2 linked regions of the Anolis sagrei genome follow. The protein of the gene in region 1 interacts with the protein of each later gene in a biochemical or structural test. Links are inferred from orthologs where the notes say so. Each region holds a gene or a part of one and is shown on either strand. Other genes may lie near its edges.

Region 1 (16,014 bases):
TGTTAAGAAGAATCCTACTGCAAAAGACCAAAGGACTAAATCCAATAGCCTGCCTCTAGTGGTGGCCAACTTCCAGATGCCTTTGGGAAGCCCCCAAGCAAGGCATGAGCAAAACAAAAAACAAAAAAAAAACCTCCTGCTGTTGTTCCTTTTTACATGGCAGTTGTGATTCTGGATGAGAGTATAGAGTTACTTCACAACTGAATTAATGTGCTGCATTATAAGTTTTAAAACCAGAACTTTGGAAAGTTAATTTCTAGACTACTTTTCAAAGACATAGTCATATTTGTTTCTGTTATTAAAAAGAAAGGAATAAGTTGCTTTGACACATTTTCATAACAAATTTATTTTAGCATTAATTTTTGTAGAGTACATCCCACTTATTAATTATTAGTTACACATATATTCTGCATTGCTTCCAATAAACTCAAGGCAGAATTATGCTTCTGGTTCTCTCTTTACTCACTGTAAGATTAACTGAGAATCACTGGCCTGAAGTCACCCAGTGAATTTAATGGCTCAGTGAGGAGTTGGGCATTATCTTCCCAATATAGCACTCTAAATTGGACTAGGGAAATTCTGATTCTCCCCCAAATGTTTTGGAAAATCCTAATAATACTGCCTGGGGCTTGAAGTCCAAAACATCTGGAAGACTAAAGATTTGCTGCTGTTGCTCTGACAACTCACACCACACTGGTATCATTGTGTACATACCAAGAGAATGCCACAGCAGGAGACTCAATGTCGACTATTAGAGCACTTCCTGGAACCCTCTTGTCATACCTTGTTGTGATAGGACCTACATTCAGTTGGCAGTCCAAAGCAGGGCAAACCCAGTGAATCAATTGCTGGATGTAAGTTAACAATTATACAAACCTTTAGTCAGCATTTATACAGTCTAAATCAACTTTTATACAAATGTATAGAAATCCTATAATCTTGGCCTCTGCTTGTCCAGTGTTGTTGGATACATTTCAATTCATGGAACTTGAGAATATAAACAGGATAGAGACAAGAGCCACTGCATGCATACTGGACCCATGCCAGTCCTGGCTGTTGAAAACATCCCAAGAGGGAGAAGTGGATTGGGTATGGGGAGTAGTGAATGCCTCACTACAGCAAGGGATATTTCCATCTTGTATAAAAGACTTTGTGGTGAGACCATTGTTGAAAAGAACCCCTTCCTGGATCTCACCATACTGGAGAAGTAGTGACCCGCCTGCCAGCTCTAGGCATTTCTGGATGAAACAGAATATCTAGTCCACTTCATTCTGGCTTCAGGCCTAGCTATGGGATAGAGACAGATTCTCTTGCCTTGATAGATGACCTACACAGGGAACTGGATAGGGAAATATGTCCCTGGTGTTTTTGCTGAACCACTCAACAGTTTTTGATACCATCAAATAGGGACAATGGGACACTATTTCACATGGCTCCAGCCTTTCTTGGAAGGGTAACTCCAAGAAACTGAGTAACTCCAAGAAGGGGTAACTCCAAGAAGAACTGGGGGATGCCTGCTCAACACTCTAGCTACTATCCTGTGGTTAAGAAGAACTTCTGATCAGAAACTTCAACAAGTCCAAAATGCTGCGGCCAAGATGTAGACCAAAGGCATTGTGCAACTTCCCTGCTGGAATAGTTGCATTGCCTACCTGTCTGTTTGTGGGTTTTTAGCTTTAAAATCCCAAATGCTTGGTTCCATATCTCCTTATCATATCAGTCAACATGAATATCAAGGTTTGCAAGCGAGGTCTTGCTCTCAATCCCAACACATTTGCAGGTATGGGTAGTGAGGGATTTTGACATGGCTTTGACATGGCTCTCTCTCTCTTTTTTTTTTTTTTTTTGTAAATTTAGATGTATCTTTTTAAATTATTGCAAGCTGCCTTGAACCCCATTATGGGAGAAATGCAGGATATAAATTAAATAAATAAGTATTTAGATAAATCTGCATTAATGCAAAGAGTTTACTTCAGCTGGTACTAGAAACTGAATTTAGGCCATGGCTACACAAACACAATCTCTCTCTTTCCCTGCTACACACACACACACAGAGAGAGAGACAGGCAGACAGGAAAAATTGTATCCTTTTATAAATGCAGGGAGACAAAGGAGTATTGCGTATTGGTCAGCAATGCAGAATTTCAGAATATGGGTCACCACAGGACTCCTATAGTCATTTATTCCACACTGGCAGTAGTGCACAGGGAGTGATTATGGCAATTTGGAAACATGCTCAGCCTGTCAATGAACAATCACTTTATTGTAACAGTGAGCCTCCATTGTAAAATGCAGAATTTAAAAAACTGAATCACCAGAAATAGAACACGATGGTGTTCTGCTGTGTTGCAGTGCTTTTGCATTAAATGCTAGACTTCTGACTACAGTGGAACTGCTCTGGCATAAAATCGAGGAAATGGAGTGAAAACCCCAGCTTGGATTATGTGTCACATTTTGGGGAAAGTGTTCTGAAAATAATACAATAAGAAGCATACTGTTTACAATATAGCTATTAGTATTATTTATATAAAGCTGTAACTATGCCCAGGGCTTATACAAATAGAAGAGAAAGTCTATAACTTAAAGTGTTTACCATCTGAAAGCATCAAAGGGCAAGTGAATGAATTCTGGTGCTATTGCTAAGTAGGCTTTTCATGAGGCAGTGATCTTAGGCATGATTATATGGCAATATACTCATTTGATCGCAGCAAGACCTATCTTTGCACATTGCCTGTTTTTAATCTGACATTTAGGCTGTATCCACACTGCAGAATTAAAGTACAGTAGTTTGACACCATATTCACTGCTGTGGCTCAATGCTATGAAAGCTGCTTTGAGCCTCCTTGTAAAGAGAAAAAGTGGGATATATTATTATTTGAAACACAAGATGAGTCCACAGCAGACAAGATCACTCTGCTAGCTGTTGTGTTGGATCACACATCGGACACTTCCCAAGTGTCTAGGACTGTGTGATGTATCAGCGAATAATGCATGAAGATCCCAGAAAGGTGGACTTCTGCAGCTGGCAAATGGTAATCTTGTCAGCGCTGATTGTGTTTAAGTGCAGGCCAAGGTCTTTAGGCACTGCACCCAATGTGCCAATCACCACTGGGACCACCTTTACTGGCTTGTGCCAGAGTCTTTGCAGTTTGATCTTTAAATCCTCATATCGTGTCAGCTTTTCCAGTTGTTTCTCTTCAATCCTACTGTCACCTGGGATTACAACATCGACAATCCATACTTTGTTTTTTAACACGATTGTGAGGTCAGGAGTATTGTGCTCCAAATCTCTGTCTGTCTGAATTTGGAAGTCCCAGAGGAGTTTGACGTGTTCATTTTCTGTAACTTATTCTGGCTTGTGATCCCACCAGTTCTTTGTCACAGGAAGATGGTATTTGTGGCATAAGTTCCAATGAATTATTATTATTATTATTTTCCACATTTGAATCCCACCCTTCTTGCTCGAAGGGACTCAGGGCAGCCTCAAAACAGGCAGAAATTTGATGCCAACAACATAAAATTCCAAAAATCCAACAATTGCAATTAAAACCACATAATTAAAACATCTGTTATGAAAATATCAATTAAAATCATGCAAGTTCAAATCATAGTCCAAGTTTTGTCCATTTGTTAGTCACATTAAAATTACTCTCATTATTGCATTGCCACAATTATAGCTCGAATGCTTGGTCCCACAACCATGTCTTAAGTATTTTCCTGAAGGATCGGAGGGAGGGGTGCTCTGATTTTATTGCGGAGGGAGTTCCACAGATGAGGGGGCACCACTGAGAAGGCCCTGACTTTCGTCCCCACCAATCGCACTTCCGAGGGTGGTAGGACCAAGAGCTGGGCCTCCCTCAACTATCTTAATCTCCGAGGTGGGTCATAGAGGGAGATATATTTGGACAGATAAGCTGGGCCTGAACTGTTTATATATAAACATAATAATAATAATAATAATAATAATAATAATAATAATAATTCCTAGGTATTGTAGTTTTGTGAGATATTTACTTTTCTCTGAGAGAGAGCTCTAGTGCCACAACGAGCTACAAATCCCAGGACTTCATGGGATGGCCGTTAAAGTGGTAACAAACTGTTATACTTTTGCAGTATGGATGATCTTTCTACATCTGCAACCAGTTAACCAGTATAAGCATTCTTTTATAGGACCTGGTTTTGTGATCATCTTGAATATTCCTCTTCTGAATATGGTCCAATCTAAACAAAGCACTGCAGATAAAGTAAAATGCTAAAACATTTTGTTAAAATGCAGGTAAAATTCACTGGGGCTTGGTTACAGCACCCCTGCTTTGCAGCATCCACAGAATTTGAATTTTGTGAATGCTCAAGTCCCATTTTACACAAAGACATAATAAAATGGTGTTCCTCAAATAAAATGGCAAAAATCAAGATTTGCTTTTTTTGGACTTTTTCTGCTGTTGGGAGAGGAATATTTTCAAGCTCTGGATGATTGTATACATTGAACCTATAAGTCTGTGTAGGTTTATCTAGAAATAAGTTGAATGTAGTGGATACAGGTTCCAAATACACACACACAATCACACTGCAAACATCTCAGTGTCACACTATAAATCACAAAACAATCTATACTGTACATCCTAATGCCATCTTTCCTGAATAGACTTCTAAACACTGAGTTCAGAGCAAAGGTTTGCCATTTTTTGAATGAGTAACTGTAACTACAAGGGCCCCCTGTGGTGCAGCTGTGGAACTTGCTGACTGAAAGATTGGCAGTTCGAATTCGAGAAGCAGGGTGAGCTGCCGCTGTTAGCCCCAGCTTCTGCCAACCAAGCAGTTTGAAACATGCAAATGTGAGTAGATCAATAGGTACTGCTTTGGCAGGAAGGTAACAGTGCTCCATGCAGTCCACGTGACCTAGGAAGCATCTACGGACAGCAACTGCGCTTTGGCTTAGAAATGGAGATAAGCACCACCACCCAGAGTTGGAAGGATTAGGGTTGGACATGATTAGACTAAATGTCAGGGGAAACCTTTACCTTTTAACTGTAACTATATGTGAAAACTGAATAGAAAGCAGAGCTTCTCATTGGCATCTTTGTTTCTTTCTCCGCTTAATATGTTACTGTTATTTCTGTCAATTAGATGTTATTCTCCACAATGCCATGAAATTACATTGATTTCTCATACAGAGAGAATCAGCACACTTTCATCTCTCTTTTTCAGAGATAAAATGTATTTATCATATCAAGAGCAAACCAAGGGTACTGTTGTATTGTATTGTAAATTTGAAAACTTGGCATTCTGTTAAATGTCCTTTGACCTGTAGCTGGCCAATTGGAGTGCCTCTGGTGTTGCTATAAGAAGGTCCATTGAGCATGTAGCAGGGCTCAGGCTGCATTGTAATAGGTGGTCTGTGGTTTGCTCTTCTCCACACTCACATGTTGTGGACTCCACTTTGTAGCCACAATTCATAAGGGTTGGCTCTGCATCTTATGCTCAACACCTTCCAAGTCCCCCAAGTTTTCTGTGTGCCCAGAAGGGGCCATGGATTGAGGTTTTGGGTTTTAGCTGCCACTTTTGGACTCTTGCTTGCTGAGTTGTTCCAGTGAATGTCTCTGTCAATCTTAGAAAATTGTTTCTTGATTTAAGTCATTAGTGTGCTGGCTGATATCCGAACAGGGGATGGGCTGGAGATGTCACTGTCTTGGTCCTTTCATAATTAACTGCTACTTCCCAGTGGTGCAATACCGGCTAAACAGCGTAGTTTCTCCAGTAGTGTAGGGTGCAGACACCCTGTGGGTGCAGACACCCTGTGATAATGTGGCATGTCTCATTAAGAGACACATCCACTGTTTTAGGGGGGACATGAGACAAACCTCCCTACAGGATTGCAAGACATCAAGGTCTTTGTAGACGGCTGATTCTCTCACAGCAGAGGTAACTGAGATAAAATAGAACCATAGAGTTGGAAGAGACCTCATGGGCCATCCAGTCCAACCCCCTGCCAAGAAGCAGGAAAATTGCATTCAAAGCATCCCTGACAGATGGCCTTCCATCCTCTGTTTAAAAGCTTCCAAATAAGGAGTCTCCACCACACTCTGGGGCAGAGAGTTCCACTGCTGAATGGCCCTCACAGTCAGGAAGTTCAGTGTAAGCATCCTTAATCCAGAATTCCAAAATACTCCAAAATTGCCCATATGGGTGGCTGAGGTGTCTATGAAAATACAAATAAATTCCATCTTCAAGGTGATGATTATGGTGTACACATACAGAAATACAGATATTCCAAAATCCAAAACACTACTTTGGGCTGAGTATCCTCGGGGGAGGTCCTCCTTTCACCCCTTCCTCCATCACAGGTTCGACTTGTGGAAATGAGAGAGAGAGCCTTTTCCGCTGTGGCCCCCCGGATCTGGAACTCACTGCCTGGTGAGATTAGGCAAGCCCCCACCTTAGCAGCCTTCAAGAAAGATCTCAAAACTTGGCTTTTCTGTTGCGCCTTTGGAGAGTGACCATATACCTCTTTTTGTTGCTCCGCCCATAATGTCATCCTCATATTGTACTTCCTTCTGCCGGTGTGAAGGCCTGTTTCCACTACTCCGTCTCCTACGAGCTTCTCCCAGAAATATTTCTCTTTCATTTTTATCTCATTCTCTCCTGACGTTTCGCCTGCATCTATGGCAAGCATCCTACCTACAACCCAGAACATTACATTTTTTATTTATATAGATTATTATTATTATTATTATTATTATTATTATTATTATTATCCTTTTCTGAAAAGCTTGAGTCCAGGAGTGCATCTGCATTGCATAATTAATACAGTTTGACACTGCCTGAATGGCTATGACTCACTGCTTTGGAATCATGGGAGTTGTAGTTTGGTGAGGCACCAGCACTATTTGGGAGAGGCGGCTACAGACCTTGCTAAACTACAAATCCCAGAATCCCATAGCCTTGAGACATGGCAGTGGGGTCAAACTGCATTAATTCTACAATACAGACGCACCTCTGGTCTCAAGACTTTCAGAGGGATACTCTGCCTGGAGCAGTGCAAAAAGACATCGTGTTTAAAGTCTTCCCAGAGTTGCTGCCCTTGATAGGGATTTGCAAGCAGGGCTGAAGCACATGACAAGCGGCTCCTCCAGCACATGGCGCCGGTACTTCATGTACCTGATGGCAATTCTTCAGAAGTGTCGCAAGCGTTGGGAAGAGTTTCTATAAGTAGGGGAGAAACAGTGGGCGAGAAAGCGCATGCGCACTACGCCCATGCTGTCTCTTGCACAATGTGCTGCGGGTACCTCGCTCCAGCGTACTCCCTGTATGCAAATATAGCGATCCCTCGTCTTGCTCGCTCATTGGATGCCCCGGAAGGGGCGTGACCGGATATGTAAATAGAGAGAAAGAAAGAAAAGCAGTGCACCCGGCATTTTCCTAAATGGCCGAGAAGGAAGAGGCGTGGCCGAAGGGGCACAAGGCTAGTTCTATCAGGGGGCGTGGCTTGTATGTAAATATAACCCCTCGCGGCTCCGGATTGGAGGGGAGAAGGCAAGTAGGCCGGGTTTATGCAAAGAAGGCGCCCGTTTTTTCCGTAAGGTGGCGTCCGTTCTTAGCCCCGCCCTGCGGTTTAAAAGCCGCCGCGCCTGCGCAGTGGGAGGAAATCGGGACTTAGTCTGTTACACAAGTAGCTGCTCCGTAGCGAAGGGGCCGCGTTCTCTCTTCGGCCTCGAGGCTTTCCTCCGCAGGCGTCTCGCCAGGCTTCCCCTCTCGCCTCCCCGCCCGGCACGTAGCCTCGTCGTAGGCAATGAGTGGGGATCAGCTGCACAACGACTCCCAGGTGAGGACGAGGCCTTCCTCTATAGCTCTGAGAGAAGCTAACCGACGCTCCGGCCTACCTTCGCCCATGAGGGGGAAGGGCGAAGAGGGGGGGCTTTCCCCATCCAAGCTAGGCCCTCATTCGGAATAAGGCCTAGCTGGGCGAGTTCCCTCACAGCCTAGGGAAAAGTGAGGCTTGCCTGAAAGAGGAGAGCCATTGTCTTCCTCCTGGGAAGTGTGCAACACTCTAAAAGAGGCTTTTAGGCCTCTCTTTTTCTCTCCTTCAGGCCTGGGCAAATTCCAGCCCTCCAGGTGTTTTGGACTCCAACTCCCACAATTCTTAACAGCCGGTAGGCTGTTAGGAATTGTGGGAGTTGGAGTCCAAAACACCTGGAGGGCTGGAATTTGCCCAGGCCACATCTAAACCCAGACATGGCCTGCATTGTGCCTGTGGAGTCGTCCCCATTTTGTCTCAGACTTCCCACTCTCTCCAAGATCTCCCTTCTTGATTCAATCACCTTTTAAGGACATCCTTCAAAACATTAAAATACATTTAAAGGAGAGCTGGGGAAACACAGAAACAAACACGAGGAAGCCAGGTGGGGAAAAAAGAGGGGGGGGGATATATATGTATGGGTGTCAATTATTTGAATTTGAAACATACCAATATATTTAAGGACACTCATTTCTCCCCCTCACCTTGACTGGTGTTTAATTAGTACTTTTTTGGTATGTGAAATAATTCTTAGAGCTGGAAGGAAGGGATATATTAATAAATATATTTAAGGACATTCATTTCTCCCCCCTCACCTTGACTGGTGTTTAATTAGTACATTTTTTGGTATGTGAAATAATTCTTAAGAGCTGGGAGGAAGGGATATATTAATATATGTGGATACATAAATATACATGCCCTATAAATGGGCATTAATTCCCCCCCCCCTCACCTTGACTGATGTGAAATCAATACATTGGTATTTTATCAATATATTAGTACATTTTTGGCCATGTGAAATATTTTTTAGAGCTGGGAGGAAGGGATATATTAATATATGTGGGTATATAAAAAATACATGTTAATTAATTTGCCCTGTATGCATGCGTTTATATATATTATCATCCTGAATTTGTCCAGTGTATATATTCAGGGCATTCATTTCTCACATCAGCTTGGTGTTTTATCAATACATTGGAGTTTTATCAATACATTAGTACAGTTTTTGCCATGTGAAATAATTCTCAGAGTTGGGAGGAAGGGATATATTAATATGTGTGGGCATGTAAAAATACATGTTAATTAATTTGCCCTGTATGTATGTGTTTATATATATTATTATCCTGAATTTGTCCAGTTTATATATACAGGGCATTCATTTCTCCCATCACCTTGACTGGTGTTTTATCAATACATTGGTGTGTTATCAATATATTAATTCTTAGAGCTGGGAGGAAGGGGTATATTAATATATGTGGATACATAAATGTACATGTTAATGAATTTGCCCTTTGTGTGTGTATATAATCCTGAATTTGTCCAGTTTATATATCTTTAGAGTATTTAGGGCATTCATTTCTCCCCTCACCTTGACTGGTGTTTTATCAATGCATTTTTTGAAGTGAAATAATTCTTATGGTTGGGAAGAATGGATATATACATGTAAATGAATTTGCCCTGTATGTATATATGTCTTTAATTTGTGTAGTTTATATATTTTTAGAGTATTTAGGGCATTCATTTCTCCCCCTCACCTTGACTGGTGTTTCTTTTAAAGGCATTTTTTTTTTGTTCTCAAGGGTGAAATAGTTCTTAAGATTCCTTAAAAAATAAATCTAATCTTCGCCCCCTTCCTCCTTCCCCCCAGATCGATCCAGATTTCCGAGCAAACGGTGAGTGCCGGCCTTGCCTTGCTTCCCCTCCCCTGCCTCCTTTCTCCCTCGTTCTGTGCTTGCTGAGGATGGCAAAGGACAGACATGGCGTCCCAGAGACTAAGTCCCGTCTCCTCGCTCACCGGCCCCATTGTTCCCATCGGGCTTCCTGATACTCCCCAATCTTAAAGCCCCTTGCCCATCCGACCCCATTTCCCGGGAGAGAGGGCTGTGGAGACCCCGATTCTGGCCTCCCCGGGTGTTTTTGAGCCTTTCTTGGGCCCGGATTCCCCCCTGGAAAGTCGCCTTGTCGACGGTCGGGACTTAGTCTCTGCGCCATTTTCTTTTTCTCTCTCTTCCCTGTGTGTCTCTTTCTCCTTCTCCTCCTCCCTCGAGCTGCCCGCAAGGAGCCTCCTGCAGTGAAAACATGCGAAATAACCACCTCCGTGTTCTAAATCACCCTTTCTGGATGCGGGTGGGGGGATCCTGTGGGGTTTTTGTTCTTTTTTTGCTTTTAAAAAGCCTTGATTTAGTAGCCTACCTCTTTATTCCTATCTTCTTCCCTCCTCCAGTTGTGTTTCTTTCAGTCCCCCATCCCCCTATAAACCAGACGTGGTTGCAACATGTTGCTCTTGAACAAATGCTTCATCTCTTTCAATTTATAACATATTTAAGACCAAGATGCAGAACTGGCTGGGTGGGGCTCTAATTATTGTATTCTGAAAGAGAAAGGTAGAATGGTGGGCAGTTCCAGAATAGTAGCCAGCATCACTTTGCTAAAGTTGGGCAGTTGTATGCAATTCATGTACAAAAGCAAAAGGAGAGGGGATACCAGTCTGTTATCAGCGCCCCCCCCTCCAAAAAACCCCCCTGTTTAATAGGAAGATTTCGCTTTCCTTTGATTATAGGGAATAAGGTCTAGAGGAGAGACAAGTACATTTGAAATAACATATCTGTGAAATGTCAAAATTGCTTCCTCCACTTAAAAAGAATTATATATTGACTTTAAAGTGTTTTTATGCTCACTTTCATAAAACGTTTTCATGATCTGTGCAACGTGTTCTGTTTTAATTTTAATACTTATTTATTAATACACAAAAGTTATCAGAAACATATGTAAAATGCAATACAGATATTCTCTCTCTATATATATATTTATATATATACATTGAAATATTTATTTTTCTGAATATTTCTGGTAGATAATTTGGATTTAAACCTTTTAGTATTTTTTAAAAAGCAATGTATAGAACTTTCTCAATCACCAGCTGAATTTCAAAGAGTTGCTTGAATGTAAATAGGGAGATTTTTTGCCACTCTTATTAAGGATATCATTTGCTGACTGATATATATTCAAGGATATGAATGTCTGTGTGTTGTACTCCAGGGGACAGTTCAGTGCTAACTTTATACTTAAAATGTGTCTAAGATCTCATGGATTTCAGTGTTTCTTCTTGTAATCTTCTGACTGTATAAACGTTTATCGAACATGCCTTTCTCTGGAGTCTTTATATTCAGACACTGAATTTTGCTGGTTCTCTCATCTTAACACATGTCTGGTACCTTAGTGAAAAGTGTGTCCTGTACTTAGGATATGAAAATATTTTCCTAGATGTTTTCTTGGGTTTTTAAAAGGAATACCAGTAACTTGACATTGTACGAGGACAGTCATAGCAGGCCCAAACAGTCCTTTATCTTTGGTGTCACACTGATTGCTCAGGTAACCACAATATCTTCAGTATCATTTAAAGAATTGCAGTTCCACTGGTATGTCCTTTCTCACCTTGCTACTAAGTCTGAAATTGCTATTATGTTTGCATACTATACTGTATTGCAATGTCTTTGCCTTCTCAGTTATTATATGATTAATTTGATGTATAAAATGGTTTCTATTCTAGATAAAGCAGTGAAAAGTCTCCTGTTGGCATGCTTTCTTTATATGTAGCTTCTGTTTTGTGCCTGTTCATAGACTGATGTAGTTTTCCTGACTGTTTTAAAACCGCTTTGGAAGGATAATTTATCTTGAATGGCTGTTTTAAATTACATTATTACTTACAGCATTATACATTCCTTCCAGTACACAACACCATTATATATTGTTTTTAGGGAGCTTACAGCTTTCCTCATAGTTTCCTCATCCTAATTGTTTAGGTGCCTCATAAGATGAAGCCCTTAGTTCTAGAAATGTGGAAACTGTTTAAACACAAAAGCTGTTGTGGCTGAACAGAAAACATTTAAACCACCAATGATAAACATCCAGTACCCGAGTATGTAAAAAACAATACCTATATGCATTTGATGAGGAAAATCAGTTTGCAATGATACACAGCTATGCTGCTTGTGTGAACAGTTTCTGGTGGTTCTAACAGTTTAATACACCAGGGAGATTAACCTACATAATTTTCCTTTGTTTATATCTTTGTTTTTGTTTTAATTTTGGAGGATTGAGACATAAACGACTGCAATTGTATCCTGATATGATACTATTCATATAATCACATAATCATCTAGAGCAGCCCTGCACAAAGGTGCAAACCCTCTACCACTGCAGCAATCATCAACTACAGAGAATTGTGTAACCACATAGTTTTACAAATAATTTAAATTTGTTTTAGGGTATTAAAGCTGTGTTTATATTGTAAGCATTGCTGTATAATTTTATGCCTGATTACATGAGTATCATATGTGTAGCTTTTATATTATCTATACGTTTTCTGCTCCTTTTACATATTTGAAAAGTTTGTATTCTTAGCTCTACTGAATTCTTAACCATGTTTTGGAGACTTATGAGGTCCAAAAGCTGTTTGTTCTTTCAAGACTTAGTCATTTGGAGGATGGGACTTGCATAATATTGTTCAAATAGTGAATTATTCACATGCTTTGTGTGTGAAAACAAATGGCCCCCCTCCAGATTATTGAGGAAGTGAAAACATCATACATGCTCTTCCATGAATATGATTTTTTCAATATGAATTTATATGTCAAACAGAAACAAAGTTGTGTCTTTACTGAAGACACAAAGCTTTTTTCATGGGGAAAGTTCGTCCTCCCTAGACTATTTGTGGCATATGTTCTAGACTTTATGATGCTCTCAGTTTTTGTATTGTTTATGAATATTATTTTATCATTGAACAGACAAAAATAAGATTTGGCAGTGATTTGAATTGGGAAGAGGCCCTAATCCTGATGCCATATGCCAGTGGGGTTTTTCTAAAGTATAAGATCCAAAGTCATTTTTTTCTTGACTTAAAAAGGAGGAACAAAAATAACTGGCAGACCAGAATAACCTTTCCCAGATTTTTTTTCCTGAGTGAGGTTGGTCATAAGAGGACAGAAGACCACTTGTGGAAGATCAGGGAAATACACTCTGTGGAATTGAGCAAATCATTTTGAAACCCTTGACTTTTGGGAACTTAATATTTATGAAAACCTTTCACTGATAAACATTTGCAGTTTAGTATGAAATACATTTACCTACTTGGAGGTTAAGTCTCCTTGAGTTCAGCTGTTTCAAAATAAGAGTGCAGTATTCATGGTCTCCCACACAGACAGCTTGAATGGGATAAAGCAAGTTCATGGAGAAAGCTATCAACATAGGTAGTCATGATGGCTGTCCAACTATGTCTCTTGATAGCACCTGTTTGGCCATTATTGGAACAGGAATCCTGGACAAGGTAGGTCTTAGGTTTGACCAGCATAATTTGCTGAGGTTAGGGGCACAGAACTCCTATGAAAGTTAAAACAACAAACAAATAAAACCAAGAAATTGATCGTAGAATTGCACTGGAGAAACTTGAATTTCATGGATAGCATTTTAATCAGAGCCACAAGAATCAAATATGCAAATTTGGAGGTATAACTGTACTTTAAAAAAACATACATATGTAGAAATGCATTTTTGTGGGCACATTAATGTTTATACGACAATAGTAATGTCACTTTTATTGTTCAGAGTGTGAAAAGGGCTGATGAATGGAAGAATTACTTTTTAAATGTAATCTATATTAGGCCTGTGCAAACAGCTGCCTGTTTAGGTTCATGGAATCTAGTTTTCAGTTAGTTGAGCTTACTTGTAAATAATAACTAAATAGAGAAGATCTTATTCTAAGATCATGTAGATCATTTGAATCAATTAAATTCCAAATCTTACAGTTATCATAGTAAGTAGTAGTAGTAATATATCTCCAATTACTTTGGAAAACATAATTGTTATTTCCCCAGTCAGTAAAGGATCAGCCATTCCCTTTAACAAGATATGTAAATTCCAGGTGTGTCAAACCAGTAATAGTCGTGATAATGAGGGTTGAATTTTGATCTCCCCTCTTTGGGCGTGGTCTTCTTAGTTCTTTTTTATCTGGCTTTGCAGCTGAATGAACATGTGATCCTTGGCAAGCTGCTTAAGTTCTTTGCCTAGTTCTTCACATTTAAATTGTGGATAAGCTAAGTGGATGAAAATTTTGAAGGTTTTCTCTGCTCAGTTGTTGAACTTATTGGCTGAGTGTTTGGCAGTTAGTTGAGTTAGGGTTGCTTGCCTATTAACTGGTTAGCGAGTGACTAATGTTTTAAAAGAGTTTATATTTTGAATACTTGTTGTTTGACAGCTTTAATGCAGTCTACTCAGCCAGGTTTCAAATTGTATATACCTATTCTATTAGCTTGTTGCAATTTTCTAATCTGTCCATAAATTTAATTTCATTTTCTGGAGTCAAATGTCTTTGTTCCATTTTCATAGAGAACCTTGCTTCACTGCTTCAGAAGCTCCTTGAACTGTGTACTGGATTCATAAAACACCATTTCAAGAACACTAGCGCTTAACATGTTCATTCAGAAGAGCTTATGAAGTCTCCTCCCTTTATTATTTAAAAGATAATAAAAAGGAAAACGTTATCATGTATACTTGATTACAAAAGTATTGCTGTGTCATAGTATAGAAGATGTTATGTGCCCTGCTTTGCAAATAGTGAATTTTTTAGTGAACTGGTTACACTGAAGTTTGACTCAGAAATGTGATTATCATGTTCAGTAAATCTTTTAATCGGCAACAAGAATATAGTTTGTTTCCAAGAACTTAGAAACTTTTTGAAATCATTTTTTAAAAAGATGTGGATGGTTGAATCCATAGATACAGAGGACTGACCGTAGTTGTCTTTCTGGTCTGTCTTATGTCTGTTATGTATCAGGTAAACTTCAAACTCACCAATTTTGTTATCCTACATTTTCAAGAAGAAAGAGAAATTGTAGCCATATGAGGGGAATGAATCTAATCATAATGCATGTGGAAGTAGAATTAGATGTGCTCACTGTATTTGCTTTCATGTGTTGCATGTTACTTCAGGGTTCTAGAAAATAGCTCACCTGACATATGCACACTAAGTCTCATTGAGCTTTGTGCTCCATTCTTATCAGCTGCGTAAAGCATGCAGTAGACCAGGAATGGTGGATTTCTATATCTTATTCAAACTCATTAGTCATCAGCCCTAGTCTGCATCATAATTGCTAAAGAATAATGAAAACTGTAGTCCAAGTTACCAATTGCTTTAAGGTGCCCACTGCCATTCTAATGTTTCCAGGCAGCAGGCTAGTTATTCCACTAAAAATCCTAATACAATTGTTCACGTTTTACAACATCAGAGCAATTCCTAATTACAACTGTAGGGCTTGCAGTGTTTTTGCTGTGGTATATATTCTTCTATATATGTGGTGGTTCAGTACCTTCAGGTTGCATCTGAGTTATGGCACCCTAATGTGAACCTATTACAAGCAATATTTGTTCAAAAGGGGTTTGCCTTTGCCCTCTGAGGCTAAGAGAGTGTGACTTACCCAAGGTCATCCAGTGGGTTTTCGTGACTGAGCAGGGATTCAAATCCTGTTTTCCAGAGTCATGCACAAATGTTCAGGTCACACACTCCTTCCTCAATAGGAAAAAGTATTTTATAACTGAACTTTCTGTTTCTCTTTAAAGAAATATAATTTTCTCTGTATATTGTGAGGGACAATTTTATTTCAGGATAATGTTGATGTGAACCAATTGTTTTAGGAGCTAAGAAGATGTAATACTGCTTTTTCCAATTCAGTTGCATAGGCAGGTCCACATGTATTTTTAACAATACTCTTAAATTTAATAATTCATCCTGGACTAAAATGCTGCATGCTTTGTGAGTAGCCTCCCCTCTGGATAGAACTGTCCCTTTGGGTCCTTGTAAAGATGTGTGAAGTTGAGGAAATGTTTAGAAGTGCAATGAAACCCCTTCCCCAATAACATATAGGAAAGATTAACACTCATTTTGCTCTGACTAGTGATATATAGCTATGTGAAGTCAAGATTGCATCTAAGGAAGTGTCCTGCCA
Region 2 (16,133 bases), on another chromosome or scaffold:
AGTTTTCTAAGATCAACAGAGACACTCGCTGGAACACCTCAGCAAGCGAGAGTCCAAAAGTGGCAGGCTCAAACCCAGCACCTCAACCAATGGCTGATACCAGATGAGAGACTCCCCCCTGGGCACACAGAGGACTGGGCGACTTGGAAGGTGCTGAACAGACTGCGCTCTGGCACCACGAGATGCAGAGCCAACCTCAAGAAATGGGGCCACAAAGTGGAATCCACGACATGCGAGTGTGGAGAAGAGCCAACCACTGACCACCTGCTGCAATGCAACCTGAGCCCTGCCACATGCACCATGGAGGACCTTCTTGCAGCAACACCAGAAGCACTCCAAGTGGCCAGATACAGGTCAAAGGACATTTAACCAACTACCAAACTCACAAGTTGTGTATTTTTCTGTTTGTTTGCTTTGTTCTGTTAGAAATGTAATACATATAATGGACTGGTTGCTCTGACACGACTAATAAATAAATGAAAGACCTGGCCAGGATGTGTTTTAGGCAGCTGTATTCCAACAGATGAATCTATCTGGGAAGCAAGTCATTCTTTGTTTCTTTCCCTCTGTTTCAATGGCCAAGATGAAGAGCGATCATCCCCGGAGGTCTTGAGTTGCTCACAATACACTCCCAAAATCTTCTTTTCCCACCAAGGAGGTCACTTTTCCAAGCACTAAAGCAAATATTCCCGATGTGAATTACAGGTGAAGGAGAGGAGCTAAGTGGTTGAGCAGATTGGGAAGGAAATGCCCAACTGGCCACCCAGTTGGTGTCTGCTATCTAATGGTTTCAACAGGCCGTCACAAAGCTTAATTTGCTCCCCAGAAGTGGAAGTGGGGTGAAAGGTGGAGAACTGGCGTTAAGAAGGCCTGGTGCCAAAGGAAGAGGTCGGCAAAGTGCAATCCAAATAATACTCTTGGTTTCCTATTGCTTCATAAATCTTTCCTTCGTGGCTTGCCAGAGTTGCAGGAGCATGTGCTTATCAGCAAGGGGGAAACCTAAAGTATTCACTCAGGAAGCAAAATGGACTTTGGAGAGGAGGGGGACACCATTACGAATTGTTGAGAGGGTCATCAGAGCAGAGTCCGAATGGGTCAGATGGCAGATCGGATGCTCCACTGGGGTATGACAATTGGTGCAGTTTGACACTAGAAAATCCACCAAGAAAATCCAACCAATGCTACGTTCAGCAAAGGACAAGAGGGATCCTCTCACTTCTGCAGGAGTCTACTGTGTACCATGTAGCTGTGGACAAGTCTACATAGGGACCACCAAACACAGCATTGCCCAGACACGCATCAAGGAACATGAAAGGCACTGCAGACTACTTCAACCAGAGAAGTCAGCCATAGCAGAGCACCTGATGAACCAGCCTGGACACAGCATATTATTTGAGAACACAGAAATGCTGGACCACTCTCACAACCACCATGTCAGACTACACAGAGAAGCCATTGAAATCCACAAGCATGTGGACAATTTCAACAGAAAGGAAGATACCATGAAAATGAACAAAATCTGGCTACCAGTATTAAAAAAAACTCTAAAATTACAACAGCAAAAACAGCAGTGAGGAAACAACCAGGCACAGCTTAACACCTCTCAACAGGAGATTTCCCAGGCTCAGGCAGGCCTTCAAATGCTAATGAAGCAGAGAGGAAACAGCCAGGCACAGCTTAACACCTCTCAGCAGGAGATTTTTCCCAGGCTCAGGCAGGCCTTCAAATGCTAATGAAGGTTGAAACATTCACACCTAGCTCCAGCAGAGAAGAGCTCTTTGCCCCACCCCAGCCATTCCACAGATATATAAACCCATTGTCCTATTTCCAACAGACCTCACTACCTCTGAGGATGCTTGCCATAGATGCAGGCGAAACGTCAGGAGAAATGCCTCTAGAACATGGCCCTATAGCCCGAAAAAAACCCACAAGAACTATGTGAACTGTCCTGGCTCAATGCTATGGAATCCTGAGAGTTGTAGTTTTACAAGGTTTTCGGTCTTCTCTGACAAAGAGTGCTGGTGCCTCATCAAACTACAACTCCTGGGATTCCAGAAGGGAAAGGAAGCATCATCATCGCTGTCTTTTATCTCACCGAGCTTTTTAACCAGTTTTAATTAGTTCTTCTTTTAACCATTACATGTGGCCCGCCCATTGTCACTGCGTTTGTGTTTATTGTAATTTTATATTGTTGTATATTCATATGGTTTTTTTTTTGTGATTATGATGTTGTTTGTTGTTTATTGTTTGCGTTTTCAGTTTGTGTTTGGTCATTCTTTATTGTCATTGTCGTTCGGGCTTGGCCCCATGTAAGCCACTCCGAGTCCCGATGAGGTTGGCTCTACATCTCGTGGTGCCAGAGCGCAGTCTGTTCAGTGAAGGAAGGAAGGAGAGGAGGAAGGAGATGAAGAAGAGCAGGAAGAGAAGAGGAAGAGGAGGAGGAAGGGGGAAAGATATGGAGGAGGAGGAGGAGGAGGGAGTAAGGAGATGAAGAAGAGAAGGCAGAGAAGAGGAAGAGGAGGAGGAAGGGGAAAAGATATGGAGGAGGAGGAGGAGGAGGGAGTAAGGAGATGAAGAAGAGAAGGCAGAGAAGAGGAAGAGGAGGAGGAAGGGGAAAAGATATGGAGGAGGAGGAGGAGGAGGGAGTAAGGAGATGAAGAAGAGAAGGCAGAGAAGATGAGGAAGAGAAGAAAAACAAGAGAATGGAGGTAAAAGGAGGGATGTAGAAGAGGAGGAAAAGAAGGAGCAGTAAGGAGATGAAGGAGAGGAGAGGAAAGAGAAAAGGAGGAAGAAGATGAAGAAGAGAAAGAAAACAAGAGGAGGGAGGGGAAAGGAGGGATGTAGAAGAGCAGGAAAAGGAGGAGAAGTAAGGGGAGGAAGGAGAGGATAAGGAAGAGAAGAGGAGGAGGAGGAAGGAAAGGGGAAGGGATGATGATGAAGAAGAAGAAGAGGAGGAGGAGGAAAAGAAGGAGATGAAGATGAAGAAGAGAAGGAAGAGAAGTGGTGGTGGTGGAGGAGGAGGAGGAGGAGGAGGAGGGGAGAATGATGGGGAGGGAGAGGAGGAGAAAGATGAAAAAGAAAAGGGTGACAAGAGGGTGAGGAAGAGGAGGAAGGGAAAAAGGAGGGATGTAGAAGAGGAGTAAAAGAAGAAGGGGTCAGGAGATGGAGAAGAGGAGAAGGAAGAGAAGGGGTGGAGCAGAAGGAGAAGGAGGAAGGAGAAGGAGTTAGGAGATGAAGAAGAGAAGAAGTAAGAAAAGAGGAGGAGGAGGAGGAAGAAAAAAAGGAAATGAAAGGGGATAAAGATGAAGGGGAGGAAGAAGAGGAGGAAAGAGAAGAAGAAGAAGAAGAAGAAGAAGAAGAAGAAGAAGAAGAAGAAGAAGAAGAAGAAGAGAATGACGGGTGGGGAGAGGAGGAAAAAGATGAAAAAGAGAAGGGTGACAAGAGGGTGAGGAAGAGGACGATGGGGGAAAGGAGCTATGTAGAAGAGGAGGAGGAGGAGGAGGAGGAGGAGTTAGGAGATAAAGAATAGAAGAAGGAAGAGAAGTGGTGGAGGAGGAGAAGGTGGAAGGAAGGAAGGAGAAGGAATTAGGAGATGAAGAAGAGGAGAAGTAAGAAAAGAGGAGGAGGAAAAGGAGGAAATGAAAGGGGAGGAAGATGAAGGGGAGGAAGAAGAGGAGGAGAAATAAAATAAGAGGCGGAGAAGAGAAGAAAAGTGAAGAAGAAGAAGAAGAAGAAGAGAAGAGTGATGGGGAGGGACAGGAGGAGAAAGATGAAAAAGAGAAGGGTGACAAGAGGGTGAGGAAGAGGAGGAAGGGAAAAAGGAGGGATGTAGAAGAGGAAGAAAAGAAGGAGAAGGGGTCAGGAGATGAAGAAGAGGAGAAGGAAGAGAAGTGGTGGAGGAGGAGGAAGGAAGGAAGGAGAAGGAGTTAGGAGATGAAGAAGAGGAGAAGGAAGAAAAGAGGAGGAGGAGGAAAAAGAGGAAATGAAAGGGGATGAAGATGAAGGGGAGGAAGAAGAGGAGGAGAAATAAAAGAAGGGGCGGAGAGGAGGAAAGAGAAGAAGAAGAAGACGGGAGAATGAAGAAAGATAAGGGAGAGGAGAAAGATAAAAAAGGGAGACAAGAGGATGAGGAAGAGGAGGAAAGGGAAAAGGAGGGATGTAGAAGAGGAGTAAAAGAAGGAGAAGGAGTTAGGGGATGAAGAAGAAAAGGAAGAGAAGTGGTGGAGGAGGGGGAAGGAAGGAAGGAAGGAAGGAAGGAAGGAAGGAAGGAAGGAAGGAAGGAAGGAAGGAGATGAAGAGGAGAAGGAAGAGAAGTGGTGGAGGAGAGGGAGGGAAGGAAGGAAGGAAGGAAGGAAGGAAGGAAGGAGGGAAGGAGATGAAGAGGAGAAGGAAGAGAAGTGGTGGAGGAGGAGGAAGGGGGAAAGATATGGAGGAGGAGGAGGAGGGAGTAAGGAGATGAAGAAGAGAAGGCAGAGAAGAGGAAGAGGAGGAGGAAGGGGAAAAGATATGGAGGAGGAGGAGGAGGGAGTAAGGAGATGAAGAAGAGAAGGCAGAGAAGAGGAAGAGGAGGAGGAAGGGGAAAAGATATGGAGGAGGAGGAGGAGGAGGGAGTAAGGAGATGAAGAAGAGAAGGCAGAGAAGATGAGGAAGAGAAGAAAAACAAGAGAATGGAGGTAAAAGGAGGGATGTAGAAGAGGAGGAAAAGAAGGAGCAGTAAGGAGATGAAGGAGAGGAGAGGAAAGAGAAAAGGAGGAAGAAGATGAAGAAGAGAAAGAAAACAAGAGGAGGGAGGGGAAAGGAGGGATGTAGAAGAGCAGGAAAAGGAGGAGAAGTAAGGGGAGGAAGGAGAGGATAAGGAAGAGAAGAGGAGGAGGAGGAAGGAAAGGGGAAGGGATGATGATGAAGAAGAAGAAGAGGAGGAGGAGGAAAAGAAGGAGATGAAGATGAAGAAGAGAAGGAAGAGAAGTGGTGGTGGAGGAGGAGGAGGAGGAGGAAGGAAGGAGGAGGAGTTAGGAGATGGAGGAGGAGGAGGAGGGGAGAATGATGGGGAGGGAGAGGAGGAGAAAGATGAAAAAGAAAAGGGTGACAAGAGGGTGAGGAAGAGGAGGAAGGGAAAAAGGAGGGATGTAGAAGAGGAGTAAAAGAAGAAGGGGTCAGGAGATGGAGAAGAGGAGAAGGAAGAGAAGGGGTGGAGCAGAAGGAGAAGGAGGAAGGAGAAGGAGTTAGGAGATGAAGAAGAGGAGAAGTAAGAAAAGAGGAGGAGGAGGAGGAAGAAAAGAAGGAAATGAAAGGGGATAAAGATGAAGGGGAGGAAGAAGAGGAGGAAAGAGAAGAAGAAGAAGAAGAAGAAGAAGAAGAAGAGAATGACGGGTGGGGAGAGGAGGAAAAAGATGAAAAAGAGAAGGGTGACAAGAGGGTGAGGAAGAGGAGGATGGGGAAAAGGAGCTATGTAGAAGAGGAGGAGGAGGAGGAGGAGGAGTTAGGAGATAAAGAATAGAAGAAGGAAGAGAAGTGGTGGAGGAGGAGAAGGTGGAAGGAAGGAAGGAGAAGGAATTAGGAGATGAAGAAGAGGAGAAGTAAGAAAAGAGGAGGAGGAAAAGGAGGAAATGAAAGGGGAGGAAGATGAAGGGGAGGAAGAAGAGGAGGAGAAATAAAATAAGAGGCGGAGAAGAGAAGAAAAGTGAAGAAGAAGAAGAAGAAGAAGAGAAGAGTGATGGGGAGGGACAGGAGGAGAAAGATGAAAAAGAGAAGGGTGACAAGAGGGTGAGGAAGAGGAGGAAGGGAAAAAGGAGGGATGTAGAAGAGGAAGAAAAGAAGGAGAAGGGGTCAGGAGATGAAGAAGAGGAGAAGGAAGAGAAGTGGTGGAGGAGGAGGAAGGAAGGAAGGAGAAGGAGTTAGGAGATGAAGAAGAGGAGAAGGAAGAAAAGAGGAGGAGGAGGAAAAAGAGGAAATGAAAGGGGATGAAGATGAAGGGGAGGAAGAAGAGGAGGAGAAATAAAAGAAGGGGCGGAGAGGAGGAAAGAGAAGAAGAAGAAGACGGGAGAATGAAGAAAGATAAGGGAGAGGAGAAAGATAAAAAAGGGAGACAAGAGGATGAGGAAGAGGAGGAAAGGGAAAAGGAGGGATGTAGAAGAGGAGTAAAAGAAGGAGAAGGAGTTAGGGGATGAAGAAGAAAAGGAAGAGAAGTGGTGGAGGAGGGGGAAGGAAGGAAGGAAGGAAGGAAGGAGATGAAGAGGAGAAGGAAGAGAAGTGGTGGAGGAGAGGGAAGGAAGGAAGGAAGGAAGGAAGGAAGGAAGGAAGGAAGGAAGGAAGGAAGGAGGGAAGGAGGGAAGGAGATGAAGAGGAGAAGGAAGAGAAGTGGTGGAGGAGGAGGAAGGAAGGAGATGAAGAGGAGAAGGAAGAGAAGTGGTGGACGAAAAGGGAAGGAGGGAGGGTAAAGAGTTAGGAGATGAAGAAGAGGAGAAGGATGAGAAGAAGAGGAGGAGGAAGAAAGGAGGGTTGTAGAAGAGGAGGAAAAGAAGGAGAAGGGGTTAGGAGATGAAGAAGAGGAGAAGGAAGAGAAGTGGTGGAGGAGGGGGAAGGAAGGAAGGAAGGAAGGAAGGAGATGAAGAGGAGAAGGAAGAGAAGTGGTGGAGGAAAAGGGAAGGAGGGAGGGTAAAGAGTTAGGAGGTGAAGAAGAGGAGAAGGATGAGAAGAAGAGGAGGAGGAAGAAAGGAGGGTTGTAGAAGAGGAGGAAAAGAAGGAGAATGGGTTAGGAGATGAAGAAGAGGAGAAGGAAGAGAAGTGGTGGAGGAAAAGGGAAGGAGGGAGGGTAAAGAGTTAGGAGATGAAGAAGAGGAGAAGGATGAGAAGAAGAGGAGGAGGAAGAAAGGAGGGATGTAGAAGAGGAGGAAAAGAAGGAGAAGGGGTTAGGAGATGAAGAAGAGGAGAAGGAAGAGAAGTGGTGGAGGAGGGGGAAGGAAGGAAGGAAGGAAGGAAGGAAGGAAGGAAGGAAGGAAGGAAGGAAGGAAGGAAGGAAGGAAGGAGATGAAGAGAAGGAAGAGGAGTGGTGGAGGAGAAGGGAGAGAGGGAGGGTAAAGAGTTAGGAGATAAAGAAGAGGAGAAGGATGAGAAGAAGAGGAGGAGGAGGAAAAGGAGGGATGGAGAAGAGGAGGAAAAGAAGGAGAAGGGGTTAGGAGATGAAGAAGAGGAGAAGGAAGAGAAGTGGTGGAGGAGGGGGAAGGAAGGAAGGAAGGAAGGAAGGAAGGAAGGAAGGAAGGAAGGAGATGAAGAGGAGAAGGAAGAGAAGTGGTGGAGGAGAAGGGAAGGAGGGTAAAGAGTTAGGAGATGAAGAAGAGGAGAAGGATGAGAAGAAGAGGAGGAGGAAGAAAGGAGGGTTGTAGAAGAGGAGGAAAAGAAGGAGAATGGGTTAGGAGATGAAGAAGAGGAGAAGGAAGAGAAGTGGTGGAGGAAAAGGGAAGGAGGGAGGGTAAAGAGTTAGGAGATGAAGAAGAGGAGAAGGATGAGAAGAAGAGGAGGAGGAAGAAAGGAGGGTTGTAGAAGAGGAGGAAAAGAAGGAGAATGGGTTAGGAGATGAAGAAGAGGAGAAGGAAGAGAAGTGGTGGAGGAGGGGGAAGGAAGGAAGGAAGGAAGGAAGGAAGGAAGGAAGGAAGGAAGGAAGGAAGGAAGGAAGGAAGGAAGGAAGGAAGGAAGGAAGGAAGGAGATGAAGAGGAGAAGGAAGAGAAGTGGTGGAGGAGGGGAAGGAAGGAAGGAAGGAAGGAAGGAAGGAAGGAAGGAAGGAAGGAAGGAAGGAAGGAAGGAGATGAAGAGGAGAAGGAAGAGAAGTGGTGGAGGAAAAGGGAAGGAGGGAGGGTAAAGAGTTAGGAGATGAAGAAGAGGAGAAGGATGAGAAGAAGAGGAGGAGGAAGAAAGGAGGGATGTAGAAGAGGAGGAAAAGAAGGAGAAGGGGTTAGGAGATGAAGAAGAGAAGGAAGAGAAGTGGTGGAGGAGGGGGAAGGAAGGAAGGAAGGAAGGAAGGAAGGAAGGAAGGAAGGAAGGAATGAGATGAAGAGGAGAAGGAAGAGAAGTGATGGAGGAGGGGGAAGGAAGGAAGGAAGGAAGGAAGGAAGGAAGGAGATGAAGAGGAGAAGGAAGAGAAGTGGTGGAGGAGGAGGAGGAAGGAAGGAAGGAAGGAAGGAAGGAAGGAAGGAAGGAAGGAAGGAAGGAAGGAAGGAAGGAAGGAAGGAAGGAGATGAAGAGGAGAAGGAAGAGAAGTGGTGGAGGAGGAGGAAGGAAGGAAGGAAGGAAGGAAGGAAGGAAGGAAGGAAGGAGATGAGGAGAAGGAAGAGAAGTGGTGGAGGAGAAGGGAGTGAGGGAGGGTAAGGAGTTAGGAGATAAAGAAGAGGAGAAAGATGAGAAGAAGAGGAGGAGGAGAAGGAGGAAAAGGAGGAAATGAAAGGGGATGAAGAAGAGGAGGAGGAGATGGCTCGGGGAAGAGCTGGATCCCTTCTGCCTCTGGAGAGCGGGTCTCCTTCCAGCGGGGAGCGAGGGACCAATCCTGGCCGAGGAGGGCGCAGGAGGGCCGGCTCCCTGTATAAAGGCCCCCGCGGGGCGCCGGCAGTTGCCATAGGCTCCGTCGAGCAAGGGCGCGCTCCCCGCGGGAGGGACCTTACCGGGCAGCGCCCCCTGCCGGACGCGCTCATGGCTGCGCCCCGCTCCAAGCCGCTGACTTCTTTCCTCATCCAGGACATCCTGCGCCTGGGGGGCCATCCAGCCGGGCCTGGGTCTCCCCCCGAGGAAGCCGGGAGAAGCAATGCCCCCCGGGAAGCCAGCCCCGAATCTCGGGAGGTACCGGAGAGCCACCTTCCAGGTAAGACGCTTCTTGGGTCACCTCCAGCATAGATATCAGAACCATAAACGGAATGGGTTGTTGTTTTCCGGGCTATCTAGCCATGTTCCAAAAGCATTCTCTCCCGACGTTTCGCCCACATCTATGGCAGGCATCCTCAGAGCTTGTGCGGTCTGTTGGAAACTAGGCAAATGAGGTTTCTCTATCTGTGGAATGATGTCCAGGGTGGGAGAAAGAACTCTTGTCTGCTGGAGACAAGTGTGAATGCTGCCATTGGCCACCTCTATTTGCATTGAATGCCCTTGCATCTTCAAAGACTGGCTGCTTGCTGCTTGGGGAATCCTTTGTTGGGAAGTGTTAGCTGGTCCTGATAGACTGGCTGATTGCTGCTTGGGGGAATCCTTTGTTGGGAGGTGTTAGCTGGTCCTGATAGACTGGCTGATTGCTGCTTTGGGGAATCCTTTGTTGGGAGGTGTTAGCTGGTCCTGATAGACTGGCTGATTGCTGCTAGGGGGAATCCTTTGTTGGGAGGTGTTAGCTGGTCCTGATAGACTGGCTGATTGCTGCTTTGGGGAATCCTTTGTTGGGAGGTATTAGCTGGTCCTGATAGACTGGCTGATTGCTGCTAGGGGGAATCCTTTGTTGGGAGGTATTAGCTGGTCCTGATAGACTGGCTGATTGCTGCTAGGGGGAATCCTTTGTTGGGAGGTGTTAGCTGGTCCTGATAGACTGGCTGCTTGCTGCTTTGGGAAATCCTTTGTTGGGAGGTGCTAGCTCATCCTGATAGTTTCCCAGGCTGTATGGCCATGTTCTAGAAGCATTCTCTCCTGACGTTTCACCCACATCTATGGCAGGCATCCTCAGAGCTTGTGAGGTCTGTTGGAAACTAGGCAAATGAGGTTTATATTTCTGTAGAATGATGTCCAGGGTGGGAGAAAGAACTCTTTTCTGTTGGAGGCAAGTGTGAATGTTGCAACTGGCCACCTTGATTAGCATTGAATGGCCTTGCAGCTTCAAAGACTGGCTGATTGCTGCTTAGTTTTTAATATTTTATCCTAAACATGTGGTCTGCCCATTGTCAATATGATTGTGTTATTGTAATTTTGTATTGCCTAATGTATCCACATGTTTTTATGATGTTGTTGTTATTGCTTGTGTTTTTGGTTTTATTTTGCTGTAATCTGCTGTCCGGGCTTGGCCTCATGTAAGCCGCCCCGAGTGTCCCCGTTGGGAGAGATGGTGGCAGGGTATAAATAAAGTTTATTATTATTATTATTATTTGAAACACAACAAGATGAGTCCCCAGCAGACAAGATCACTCTGCTGGCTGTTGTATTGGATCACACGTCAAACCCTTCCCAAGTGTCTAGGACTGTGTAATGTATTGGCGAATAATGCGTGCAGATCCCAGTAAGGTGGCCTTCTGCAGCTCACAGATGGTAATTTGGTCAGTGCCGATTGTGTTTAAGTGCAGGCCAAGGTCTTGAGGCAATGCACCCAGTGTGCTGATCACCACTGGGACCACCTTGACTGGCTTGTGCCAGAGTCTTTGCAGTTCGATCTTTAAATCCTCATACCGTGTCAGTTTTTCCAGTTGTTTCTCTGCTATTATTATTATTATTATTATTATTATTATTATTATTATTATTGGGGAAATCCTTTGTTGGGAGATGCTAGCTCATCCTGACAATTTTCCAGGCCGTATGGCCGTGTTCCAGAAGCATTCTTTCCTGACGTTTCACCCACATCTATGGCTGGTATCCTCAGAGGTTGTGAGGTGTGTTGGAAACAGGATGAGATTTATATTTCTGTGGTTTATATATCTGGACATTTCGCAGATACCTAAACCTCATTTGCCTAGTTTCCCACAGAACTCACAACCTCTGAGGATGCTTACCATAGATGTGGGCGAAACGTCAGGAGAGAATGCTTCTGTAACATGGCCAGACACTCCAGAAATCTCGCAGCAACCCAACCCTCAATCTGATCGAGGCCTGTTCTCAGTATATACTCCTGTTGTTGTTTACGTTTCTTTTCTGCCCCATAGATCCTCCTGCGGAAACCCCAGGGAACCCACCCAAGTCCTTCCTGCGGCCTCCAAAGCAGCAGAAGCGCTCCCGGGCGGCCTTTTCCCACTCTCAGGTCATCGAACTGGAGCGGAAGTTCAGTCAGCAGAAGTACCTGTCGGCCCCGGAGCGGGCTCACTTGGCCCGCCACCTCAAGCTCACCGAAACCCAGGTGAAAATCTGGTTCCAGAACCGAAGGTACAAGACCAAGCGGAAGCAGCTGGCCTCGGATCTCGGCGGCTTTGAGAAGAACTCTTCCATCCCGACATACAAGGAGAGCGCCTTCTCCAGAGCTGCCTTGGCCCTCTCGGTGTGCCACAGCCACCAATACCACCCTTATTTATACTGCCTCAATGGCTGGACTCCTGTCTTTTGGTAACTGACCTTCAAGAGCAGTCCAATGCTACCGAGTTGCTTTCCATCCATGCTGTGCCCATCTAGAACACTACGTAAACGACATTTGAAAACTGTATTGTCGCAGGCTTTCATGGCTGGAATCACTAGGTTCTTGTGGGTTTTTTCGGGCTATATGGCCATGTTCTAGAGGCATTTTCTCCTGACGTTTCTCCTGCATCTATGACAAGCATCCTCAGAGGTAGTGAGGTCTGTTGGAACTGGGAAAAATTGGTTTATATATCTGAGGAATGACTGGGATGGGGCAAAGAGCTCTCTGCTGCAGCTAGGTGTGAATGTTTCAGCTGACCACCTTCATTATCATTTGAAGGCCTGGCTGAGCCTGGGAAAATGCCTTGTTGAGAGGTGTTAAGATGTGCCTGGTTGTTTGTTTCCTCTCTGCTGTTTTGCTGTTGTAATTTTAGATCCTGGTTTGAAAGTGTTCTGGAACATAGCCATAGAAAACTCACAGCAAGCCTTTTATTTCCTGTTTAATTGTACAGTCCTTACTTTGAAAGTAGTTTTTCTACTCCAGAAACTACAAACTATGTTGAATTGGTTGAGATATTCACAGAATCATAGAATCCAAGAGTTGGAAGAGACCTCATGGGCCATCCAGTCCAACCCCATTCTACCAAGCAGCAGGAAAATTGCATTCAAAGCACCCCTGACAGATGGCCATCCAGCCTCTGTTTCAAAGCTTCCAAAGAAGGAGCCTCCACCACACCCCGGGGCAGAGAGTTCCACTGCTGAACGGCTCTCGCAGTCAGGAAGTTCTTCCTCATGTTCAGATGGAATCTCCTCTCTTGTAGTTTGAAGCCATTGTTCCTTTGCGTCCTAGTCTCCAGGGAAGCAGAAAACAAGCTTGCTCCCTCCTCTCTGTGACTTCCTCTCACATATTTATACATGGCCCTCATCATATCTCCTCTCAGCCTTCTCTTCTTCAGGCTAAACATGCCCAGCTCCTTAAGCCGCTCCTCATAGGGCTTGTTCTCCAGACCCTTGATCGTTTTAGTCGCCCTAAAATTCATTGAAAATTCATTGAAAAACTGGAGCAATATGCTGCAGGATGTCCCTTCTGCAATTTTTTTTCAGTTTAATCAACGTTTCCCATGTTTTTATGATAGTCTCAATTAGGAAACGACATTTATAACCCGGAAACAAAAATCGTCTTGCATAGTGTAATTGTCACTGTCCTTTTCCCTCTCCTGCCTTTGGCATCTAGGTGTTCTCCCTTTGGATCAGCAGCTATAGGTTTTTTTGTTTTGTTTTGGGGTTTTTTGTCATGTCAGGAGTGACTTGAGAAACTGCAAGTCGCTTATGGTGTGAGAGAATTGGCCATCTGCAAGGACGTTGCCCAGGGGACGTCCAGATGATTTGATGTTTCTTATCATCCTTGTGGGAGGCTTCTCTCATGTCCCCGCATGAGGAGCTAGAGCTGACAGAGGGAGCTCATCTGCCTCTCCCCAGATTTGAACCTGCGACCTGTCGGTCTTCAGTCCTGCCGGCACAAGGGTTTAACCCACTGTGCCACCGGGGGCTCCAGCAACTATAGGTGCCAGCTGCTATAAAAGTGACATATATGGTCTGTAGCGAAAAATGAATACATTGGTTGTACAAGACTCCTGGGGATCAGTGCAAAGTGCTGCCCAGTAGGCATGTGCTTTCAGGGTAAACCTTGTCCCGTTTTCATAGAATCCTAGAGTTGGAAGAGACCTCGTGGGCCATCCAGTCCAATCCCTTTTTGCCAAGAAGCAGGAAAATTGCATTCAAAGCCCCCCTGACAGATGGCCATAGAGTTGGAAGAGACCTCATGGGCCATCCAGTCCAATCCCATTCTGCCAAGAAGCAGGAAAATTGCATTCAAAGCACCCCTGACAGATGGCCATAGAGTTGGAAGAGACCTCATGGGCCATCCAGTCCAATCCCATTCTGCCAAGAAGCAGGAAAATTGCATTCAAAGCACCCCTGACAGATGGCCATAGAGTTGGAAGAGACCTCATGGGCCATCCAGTCCAACCCCATTCTGCCAAGAAGCAGGAAAATTGCATTCAAAGCACCCTTGACAGATGGCCATAGAGTTGGAAGACACCTCCTGGGCCATCCAGTCCAACCCCATTCTGCCAAGAAGCAAGAATATTGCATTCAAATCACCCCCGACAGATGGCCATCCAGCCTCTGTTTAAAAGCTTTTAAAGAAGGAGCCTCCACCACACTCCTGGGCAGAGAGTTCCACTGATGAACAGCTCTCACAGTCAGGAAGTTCTTCCTCATGTTCCGGTGGAATCTCCTTTCTTGGAGTTTGAAGCCATTGTTCCCTTGCGTCCTAGTCTCCAGGGAAGCAGAAGACAAGCTTGCTCCCTCCTCCCTGTGGCTTCCTCTCACATATTTATCCATGGCTCTTATCATGTCTCCTCTCAGCCTTCTCTTCTTCAGGCTAAACATGACCAGTTCTTTAAGCCGCTCCTCATAGGGCTTGTTCTCCAAACCCTTGATCATTGGAGTCGCCCTCCTTTGGACACATTCCAGCTTGTCAATATCTCCCTTCCATTGTGGTGCCCAGAATTGGACACAGTATTCCAGGCATGGTCTAACCAAGGCAGAAAAGAGCACGGGGAGCAGGACTTCCCTGGATGTAGACCAGGGGTCCTCAAACTTTTTAAACAGAGGGCCAGGTCACAGTCCCTCAAACTTTTGGAGGGCCGGATTATAATTTGGAAAAAAAAAACCATGAATGAATTCCTATGTACACTACACATGCCTTATTTGTAGTGCAAAAAACACTTAAAACAATACAATAATTAAAATAAAGAACAATTTTAACAAATATACTTTTATTAGTATTTCAATGGGAAATGTGGGCCTGCTTTTGGCTAATGAGATAGGATTGTTGTTGTGTGCTTTCAGGTCATTTCATACTTAGCTTGACCCTGAGTGAGGGCTGGATAAATGACCTTAGAGGGCCGTATCTGGCCCCCGGGTCTTAGTTTGAGGACTCCTGATCTAGACTCTATGCTCCTATTGATGCAGGCCAAAATCCCATTGGCTTTTTTTGCCACCACATCACATTGTTGGCTCATGTTTAACTTGTTGTCCACGAGGACTCCAAGATCTTTTCCACACGTACTGCAGTCGAGGCAGGCATCGTCCCCCATTCTGTATCTTTGCATTTCATTTTTTTCTGCCTAAGTGGAGTCTCTTGCATTTGTCCCTGTTGAACTTCATTTTGTTAGTTTTGGCCCATCATCTCTCTAATCTGTCAAGGTCGTTTTGAATTCTGCTCCTGTCCTCTGGACTATTGGCTATCCCTCCCAATTCAGTCTCATCTGCAAACTTGATAATCATGGCTTCTAACCCTTCATCTAAGCCAGGGCTTCTCAACCTTCCTAATGCCGCGACCCCTTAGTACAGTTGCTCATGATGTGGTGACCCCCAACCATAACATTTTCATTGCTACTTTGTAACTGTAATTTTGCTACTGTTATGAATCGTAATGTAAATATCTGATATGCAGATATTTTCAAATCCCAAATACCCAATATGCCCAAATTTGGATACTGGTGGGGTTGGGAGGGTTGATTTTGTCATTTGGAAGCTATAGTGGCTGGGATTTATAGTTCACCTACAATCAAAGAGCATTCTGAACACCACCAATGATGAAATTGAACCAAACTTGGCACACAAAACTTTCATGGCCAAGAGGAAATACTGGGAGGATCTGGTGGATATTGACCTTGAATTTTTGGAGTTGTAGTTCACCTACATCCAGAGAGCACTGTGGACTCAAACAATGATGGATCTGGACCAAACTTGGCACGCATACTCAATATGCTGAAATGTGAACACTGGAGAAGTTTGAGAAAAATAGAATTTGACATTTGGGAGTTGTAGTTGCTGGGATTTATAGTTCACCTACAATGAAAGAACATTCTGAACCCCACCAATGATAAAATTGGACCAAACTTCCCACACAGAACCCATGACCAACAGAAAATACTATGTTTTCTGAGGGTCTTTGACGACCCCTCTGACACCCCCTCGTGACCCCCACAAGGGTCCCGACCCCCAGGTTGAGAAACACTGATCTAAGCCATTAATAAAGATCCCAAGCAAGACCGGGGAAAGGTTGGAACCCTTCTGATGGCACTCCGCTCGTCACTTCTTTCCAGGACAAAGAGGAAGCACTGGGGAGCTTGCATAGTGTAATTGGCACAGTCCTTTTCCCTCAACTGCCTTCTAGGTCAGTGTTTCTCAACCTTCTTAATGCCATGCATGACCCCTTAATACAGTTCCTCATGTTGTGTTGACCCCCAACCATAACATTATTTTTGTTGCTACTTCACAACTGTCATTTTGCTCCTGTTATGAATCGTAACGTAAATATCTGATATGCATTTCATTCACTGGACCCAAATTTTGCACAAATACCCAATATGCTCAAATCTGAATACTGGTGGGATTGGGCAGGGGGATTGATTTTGTCATTTGGGAGTTGTAGTTGCTGGGATTTATAGTTCACCTATAATCAAAGAGCATTCCAAACTCCACCAACAATAGAATTGAACCAAACTTGGCACACAGAACCCCCATGACCAACAGAAAATACTGGAAGGGTTTGGTGGGCATTGACCTTGAATTTTTGGAGTTGTAGTTCACCTACATCCAGAGAGCACTGTGGACTCAAACAGTGATGGAGCTGGACCAAACTTGGCACGAATACTCAACATGCCCCAATGTGAACACTGGTGGAGTTTGAGGGAAATAGACCTTGACATTTGGGAGTTGTAGTTGCTGGGATTTATAGTTCACCTACAATAAATGAGCATATTGAACTCCACCAATGATG

The links.
Region 2: the proteins of TOP1 (region 1) and NKX3-1 form a complex in vitro, tested with the Homo sapiens proteins (2 studies listed by BioGRID and IntAct). The link is inferred for Anolis sagrei from reciprocal best matches to the Homo sapiens genes TOP1 and NKX3-1.

What each region holds. Positions count from the first base shown.
Region 1 is NC_090024.1:216,023,096-216,039,109, forward strand, and holds the start of TOP1 (DNA topoisomerase 1), read left to right. Parts: upstream 1-7,635; 5' UTR 7,636-7,789; coding exon 7,790-7,822; intron 7,823-9,662; coding exon 9,663-9,687; intron 9,688-16,014. UniProt on the Homo sapiens protein: Releases the supercoiling and torsional tension of DNA introduced during the DNA replication and transcription by transiently cleaving and rejoining one strand of the DNA duplex.
Region 2 is NC_090027.1:5,191,888-5,208,020, reverse strand, and holds NKX3-1 (homeobox protein Nkx-3.1), read left to right. Parts: upstream 1-8,431; coding exon 8,432-8,849; intron 8,850-10,875; coding exon 10,876-11,273; 3' UTR 11,274-11,434; downstream 11,435-16,133.